Linked DNA regions of Coturnix japonica. The protein of the gene in region 1 interacts with the protein of each later gene in a pairwise test. Links are inferred from orthologs where the notes say so. Each region holds a gene or a part of one and is shown on either strand. Other genes may lie near its edges.

Region 1 (3,500 bases):
GGGTTTACCAGTGCGGCGGTACGTAGCTGTAGGTGGGGGTTCCTTGAGCCCGGTACGTTGGCACGGAAACTGGATGTGCTCCGATGGCAGTGTGTTGTGGGGTGGTCAACAAGGTTCCTGCAGCAACAGCGAGGAGAAAGGCTTGGCGTGAAAGTATCACAGCATGGGGGGAGGTGAGAAGGGATATCGCTAACCTAGCACCACGTCAAAGAGGCTTTGGAGAGCCCCAAGGAGCAGACCCCAGAGAGCCCTGGGGCACATCAGGAGCATCCCCTCCTCTATGAGCCATGACAAGCTGGGGATTCCAAGTGAGATTGTGCACGGTGCCTTCAGCAGACTCAAAAAGGGAGAATACGATCTCAAATGTTTCTGCTCTAAGAGTAATGGGGTGCTTGGAACTTTAGGGCATCCTGAATGCATTAATTACATCTGCCCACTTCTCAGTGCAAGCAACAGTAGTAAATATCTCAGAGTGGTTCTTGTGAGGCACAGGCTGCAATCCCTCCGTATAACAGGGAGTCAACAGAGCCCTATTTCTCAGCTAATGCAGATGCAAATGGGTGAACAATGCCTTTCTTTGCATAATTCAGCACACAGTGCTATGAATTGTTTTCTGGAGAACCTCTGAGGAGAGAAATACAGGCTTTGGAAAAAAATAAAACAGCCCACAGCCTGGCTCAGTGACTTAATGTGTCTTCAGTTAATCATGTTTTACGAGGACTGAAATTACCCCATGCATGCAACACACAGGATTTGAGAGTGATGTGTAAACCAAGGTTAATACTTGTTTCATTAAGTGTGTGCTGCAGGATGGTAAGTATCTTAACAAAGAGCTCGAGAGTAGAAATGCAGCCATGGCTGGAGAAGGGTGAGCTTGGCTGTTGCTTTATTTGTGGAACAGAGTGCAAAAGTGAATCCCTCTAGGGCACAACAAATGGAAGAGCTCCTCTGCAGCCCTACGGCCTTGAGTGGTATCAGCATGAAGTGCAAACTAATTGATATCTGCCTGTGTGGGTTGCTTGGGTTTGTCCCATCCAAGAGCTGAACCCACTGCTCTGGATCTGTGGGGCCAAAGAGGAGCCTCTTACCTGCTGACATGGCCATGGTGGTGCCAGCGACCATCCCCATGGCCACGCCGTTGGTGCGGGGCGCAGCGACAGGGGCCGGGTAGATGGCCGAGGGGATGCTGTTGGGCTGAACCACGGTGGTGTGATGGATAACGTGAGGCTGTGCCGCGTACACTGGCTGGGTATAATAAGCTCCCTGTTTGAGAAAGGGAAAACACCACCGGCTTTGTCATCCCACAGAAAGCCCACGTCCCGAGCATGTATCGGCACGGCTGGTCCCAATGGATGGAGCACACACAGCTGGGAAAGAAACCCCCAATCCACATTTTTTCCCATTCTCTAGAAGTTCTTCCAGCCTCCACCCCTTTCCAAGTTCCTCCCAGGACAATTTCAAACAGAAGGATTTATTTATTCCTCCAGAGGGAATGGCAATAAGCACTGGAATGGGGTCCCCAGGGAGGTGGTTGAGTCACCACCCCTGAATGCATTTAAGATCCATTTATGATCCATTTATTATTAAGATCCATTGGATGTGGTGCTCAGGGACACGACTTAGTGGAGGGTTTCTAGGGCAGGATGGTTGGGTTGCAGTTGGACTTGATGATCTTTAAGGTCTTTTCCAACCTGAGCAATTCCATGATTCTATATGGATTCATATGATCATGGGTAGGGGGCATGGCGGTGATGGGTCAATGGTTGGACTTGATGGACTTAGCAGTCTTTCCCAACCTTAACAATCCCATGGTTCCATAAAACACTGCATGGTTTGATGGGATGAAATGGGGCCAAGTCCAAAGTATGTTGGCTGCTGGCATGCAAAATGAGCAAGAGAACTAAGGGAAGGAGGAACTGTGGCCCCATCTGATCCCAAAGGGCCTGCCTCGGCGCGGGAAGCGGGCAGACAAAAGGGAGCACCAGCTCCTCAGGTTTCCAAAAGGAGACAGAGGGGTTCTGAAATCCGGGCTACTGAGAGCCGAGGGAGCTGGAAACAAGGGGGAGAAAAGAAAGGAGCCAACAGAGAAAGCCCCACATCCCATGTAACGGTGATCCCGAAACGTGAGCAGTGCAGTGCTGCAAGAACAGGGAAGGTCGGAGGGATCAGAGGGCTGAGAACAATGAGGGGAGATCTTATTGCAGTCTGGGACAGGCATGGGAGAAGCCCTTCAGGTATGGATGAAGGGGGGAAAGGAGAAACGGATGAACTATCATATTACTTCTTCCTTTCAGGGTGGATTGTAGACACACTGCATTACATTGAGGAAGGGAAGAACTTGCCAAGAGAGATGTGGAAGGGGACAGAAATCAGCCTGATACCCTTCTGGTAGAGCAGAGCATGGAGCAGCTGATAGCCTTCCTGGGATTCAGCTGCATGCCCAGCCCAGGATCAGGACAGCACACAACCTTCCATGGGCAAATAGTGGTGGTGGGTGGTTGTCTGGGCTGGAAGATCTTGGGAGGTATTTTCCAACCTTGGTGACTCTATGATCCTGATTCAGCCTTCTCCTGCCTGTACTCATCTCAGCAGCCAGCATCTTCCTTGCAAAATGCCTGAGCTTGACACCAGGCTCCACTGTTCCGACACAGCAAGGGTCACCCTGCAGGATTAAGTCCCAATGGCAGCAAAGAGCTGCTGGCAAAGCTGCCTCCATCTTTTGTGCCAGGTGATGGGGAGCATGTCAGGAACCAGCAGAGAGCACCTGAGCACACTTCTGACCCTGATAGCTTCCCCTGTGCTCAGCTAATGGAAGGAAAGTGGACAAAATGGGGCAGAGGAGATGCTCTGAATGCAACCTGGCATGGAGAAACCAGGTCACTGCTGCAAGAGAAGTCCTATTAGCCATTAAAGTGGAAGGAAAAAAAAAGAAAAGCCAGGAAAGCTGCAGGGCCAGAGTGCTGCAAGGAGCTCATTATCTCCTACAGGAAGAGGCAGCAAGGAGATTTTTGGAGGACACCTGTCCAACATGGGGTCTTGGCTCTGGTGCATGGCTGGAGGCAGAAAGCAATGCTGGAGCACAGAAGATGGCGCTGGGAGCCCAGCCAGGAGCTCAAGGACACAAATCTGGGCCATGCTGGTGAAGGTGACAAAGGGGGCTGTGCCATAGGAAGCAGGAGAGCAAGGCCCATGGGATGCCACCGGGATGGGGACCACAAGCTCATGTATGGCATTGACACCCGAGCCCCAGTGTTCACATGTGGGATTTGGGGAGGAAAGAGCCCAAGGGGACGTATCAGGTGGTGGTGGGAGATGCAGAGTGAGGCACGTACCTGGGTGTACAGGTTCTGCTGTGGGTAGGCACTTCTGATGGGGTACATAGCAGTTTGGTATGGATTCGGAGACGGAGAGTAGGGAGGAGGCGCGTTGTTGCTCTGGGTCGGTGGGACCTTGTAGGGAGTCCCCGCAGTGTACCCTGGTGAAGAAAGCAGAGGTTTGTA
Region 2 (4,068 bases), on another chromosome or scaffold:
ATCATCCCCTAAGAATGCATCTTCCTGGAGGTAAAGGGACCATGTGTGAGTTTCAAGGAGGAAGCATTATTTCAAGGAATACATTCCAATGCAAAAAGCCTCACCTTGATCCAATGCAGAGGCACTCACCAAGGTTGCAAAGACCTGAGGCTGCTCCAGCAGGCCTGAAAAGCCATTCCATGCAGGTATGCAGCTTAGGAACTTCAACACTGCATTATATGGATTTCTTAATTGAATCTGGAGCAGCCAGAGGAAAGGGATTCTCATCTGGGCAAAGTCCTTGGAAGCTGCATCCATAACAAATTGCATTTCTGTTCTTACTTCCTGACTGACTAATACAGATGGAGCAAAAAAAGCACACAGAAGTGAGGCACGTTGACTTAAGTCAAAACACAGCAACCCTCTCCTCCCTCATAGGTTCTGATGGTGTGAATTCCTGGATATTGTTCAGATTCTGGAAGGTTTTGGGAAGGTGTGAAGGCTGGGTCAGTACCTCACCTCTGGATAACAGCAGGAAAGAAGGTGCTTCATTGATACAACAAACCAGCAATGATAGGGATAGGTTTGTCACTGCCAACACTGCTTCCTGCTCCAGCATAAATTGTTGCACTTGAAAGAACAGCATCTTCACTGCTTTTATTTGTGTGCAGGGCTGTGTGCTCTCAATGCTCCCTGCCTTCCTGGGTGCTCAGCAGGGTGGACCTGTCTGCCTTCAGATGGAGGAACTGGGGCAGGGGGGGATGTGGAAGAAAGGCAAAGGAGAGGTGAGAGGAGGAGGAGGAGGAGGATAACTCTTGAAGCTCTCCAAGGGGGAATTCCGAAGCCACATACTGCGTGTGATGGCCTGGAGAGGGCCGTGGAGGATGCAGAAACCCAGGATGGTGATAGAAAATTCGGAGCGCAACTCTGTTGCCTCTAACTAGATCTGCTTCAAAGCTCCGTGCTCTCACAGCTCATCCAGCGGCACAGAGACCTGGAACCCCACAGCCCCAGAGTTCCGAGATCACCCAACCTCCCCCATGTGCTGCCTCTTCCCGGAGGAAAGAGGAGCATCGCGCAGAGCTCTTTCCTCCGGGAAAATAAAGAAAGAAATAAACAAATAAGAAAACAAAAATAATAGTGCCCACCTTCCCCGCTTTCCACAAGGCAACCGGCGCTCTTCCAGCAACCCAGAGAACCCCTCCACCCCCTTTCCTCCTCCTCCTCCCCCCTCTTCCATCCCTTAGCGGAGCCCGCGGCGCCGGGCGGCGGCTTTAAGAGCGGGGGCGGGCTGAGCGGGGCCGCGGTGCGGGCATTCGGCTCCCCGAGCTCCGGAGCGGCCGCCGGGTGCGCACGTGTGGCCCCGGGGCCGCGGAGCAGCGCGGAGCGGAGGAGGGCGCAGCCCCTCGGCCCTGCCCCGACCGCGGCCCCTGTTGGGGCGCTGCGGTGTGCATGGCCCTGCGAGGCCGGCGATGGCTGCATGATGGCCCAGCGCGGGCAGCCCGCACCGCACGCCATGGCTGCCAAAGAGGAGCTGTACAGCAAAGTCATCCCCCGGCGGAACCGGCAGCACCGAGCGGGGACCATCAAACACGGCTCGTCGCTGGAGATCCTGCTGTCAATGGGTTTCCCCAAAGCTCGGGCGTAAGTCTCCGCGAGGCTCCTTTCCCCCCCCCCCCTTTTCGTTTTTCCCCGTCGCGGAGATGCGCGCTCGGAGCCGGGCTGGGGGCTGCGCACAACCGGGGCTCTCGGGGCCCTCTTGGGCGGGGATGCTGCGGCCGAGCGGAGCCGTGGGGCCGCTGCGGATCCTGGAGGGTGGCGGAGGGGGAGCGGAGGGTCCCGGGCGCAGGTGGGCTCCAGCGCCGCTGTAAGATCGGGGTCACAGCGGAGCGATGCTTCGGTCCCCCCTGGCTGAATGCAGAGCCCGTTCCTGCGCTCTGAGCGCTGCCTGGGCACCGTGCGTTACACACAAGAAGGGAAGGAGATAGAGAAGATGTCAGTAGTGCGAAGTGGAAGGGTTTTCTGGTCTAATATAGTGATGTCCCGCTCTAATTTTCCTGCTCGTGCTTTAAATGAATGAGGCAGCAACGTAATGATAGCTTAACTATCCTGGTTTAAATATAGTGACTCCTAAAGTGGGACTGTGAGTTAGGAGGGAAATGAGATGGGGTGGGGGGGATTTGGATGTTTCCTTGATCTGCTTAAGTTTCCCTGTTGCTGCTGATGCCAGTCAGAAGTCATTGGGTTTTATTCAGACATCCCTGTGTGGTTTTTGTCCATAAATACAGAGACACACACACTCAGTCCTAAGGACAAATGTCAGGCTGCTGTGGACCTGCTGGCACAGCCATCAAGTCCCGTGCGTGCTTTCCATTGTCCTACTTATGCTCCTTCTGCCTGTCAGTGATCTGCAGTCATGTACGGAAAACCAACGTGTACGGCACTTACAGACAATGCCTGCAAATGAAGATAGTACGAAAGTGGTGACTTCATGCTCTGTGCTTGTTGGGAAAAACAGATGTGCAGCTTCCAGAGTAGCTGGAGAGAGAAGGAGGTTGAGTGTGAATGGAAGTGGCTGTTACCTGTGCAACAGTGCCGTCACAGCTGGCAGGCAGCCCTGGTTGCACCTCACTGCGTGCTGAGGAGCTCTGTGTATGGTTTATACTCCTGCCTAAGGAAACTCCAATATTTGATAAAAATGAAACCAAAGCTTCATGTGTATAGAATAGGAAAGGTTAAACACGGAATGCAAAGCAGAGAGAGGGGAGAAATATCCCCTGCTGCAAGGAATGCTCATTGGAAATGCCACCAGGCAGCGGGGTAGATTGTCTGGATACTAAATCCAGGATACTGTGCTGTAACCCTGCTGGACAACGTGCCTGTCTGCTGGGACGGGTCTGCTTTCCCCATCTGAAGGAGCTCGCAGTGCCCTGTTCCAGCCTGCTGGAAATCCTGCAAATAATTCATCTCTGAAGTTCACATAAGTAGCAAAACAGAAATAACAGCAGACAACCTGGCTCTGACACCGAGGGTGAGCTCAGAAGGGTGAGAAGGGCAACAAGGAAGCAGGACCTGCCCCAAGGGGCTCTGCTGCCTTCTAACTCCTGCCACATCGCTGTGCTGTGTAAATGCAGGAGATAGCCAAGTTGCTAAGGAGGCAAAACACCATCTCCCCCAGAGACACGGCGGCATAACAGCCTTAGCAGAGAGCCCTGGTGAGTCTTGGCCCAAAGTTCTCCTGCCCATTCTGCATCCCAAAGCTGGGATAACGGCAGGCAGTGGGGAGCTGGGTGAAGCAGGGCTGCAGCCAGGCTGGCACTGTACAGGGGTGACCATCTGCTCCAAAGCCTTGTGACAACAGAGCTCCGAGCTGTCTGACTCGTCTGCCAGGCATGATGCTGAGGGCCATCACTGCTGGCAGCAGCCGGGCTCCTGGCACCTCCCTGGGCTGCATGGCACAGCTGGGCCAGGGGATGTGCTTGGAGATGGCATGAGTGCTGCTTTCAGGTGACACCTGGTATTGAGAGCGTGCTGAGACACTGCCCAGCATCCACTCTTCCTATCCCTCAGCTTCCAATTCCAGCAATTTCAGGTACTTCCTACCACAGGTCAGAAAGAGACCTCAAGGTTTCCCTACTCTGTCCATCTCTTTTCCTCCTTCCCAGCAGCAGCTGCAGTTCAGCTGAGCTGCTGTGAGCTACAGTGCGGTGCAATGCAAACTGGGGGCATCACCTCTGGATGGCAGTTGCTGAAACCACTGCACTACATCAGCATTTCGGGCTGTTGCTGTGAGAGCTATTTGTTGGGCTTTTCCTCTGAGCACAGGTTCATTATTTTTTCATTTTGTAATTAGCCCATTACATTACGTACTGTTAAGTCACAAAGGAGACCGTCCTGATCTCAAATAGTTCCTGACTGAAGCCAGGAAGGAGGGCAGAGGTGATGTTATCATTGCCATTTTGCAACTTGGGCACTCAGGCAAACATTCTACCCAAGGTTACACACCAGTCCAAGCAGATCCTCAGCGTCTCAAGACCCTCAACACAACCACATCTTCTTCTAGAAAGGGATTTCACATGGCTGTCGTTT

Evidence for each region. The genes of interacting proteins can lie anywhere in the genome.
Region 2: the proteins of FAM168A (region 1) and UBASH3B interact in binary tests that used the Homo sapiens proteins (3 or more experiments, as listed by UniProt). The two-hybrid records come from large-scale screens. The link is inferred for Coturnix japonica from reciprocal best matches to the Homo sapiens genes FAM168A and UBASH3B.

What each region holds. Positions count from the first base shown.
Region 1 is NC_029516.1:174,975,222-174,978,721, forward strand, and holds part of FAM168A (protein FAM168A), read right to left. Parts: intron 3,476-3,500; coding exon 3,333-3,475; intron 1,264-3,332; coding exon 1,089-1,263; intron 118-1,088; coding exon 5-117; 3' UTR 1-4.
Region 2 is NC_029539.1:2,677,940-2,682,007, reverse strand, and holds the start of UBASH3B (ubiquitin-associated and SH3 domain-containing protein B), read left to right. Parts: upstream 1-1,268; 5' UTR 1,269-1,459; coding exon 1,460-1,623; intron 1,624-4,068. UniProt on the Homo sapiens protein: Interferes with CBL-mediated down-regulation and degradation of receptor-type tyrosine kinases. Promotes accumulation of activated target receptors, such as T-cell receptors and EGFR, on the cell surface.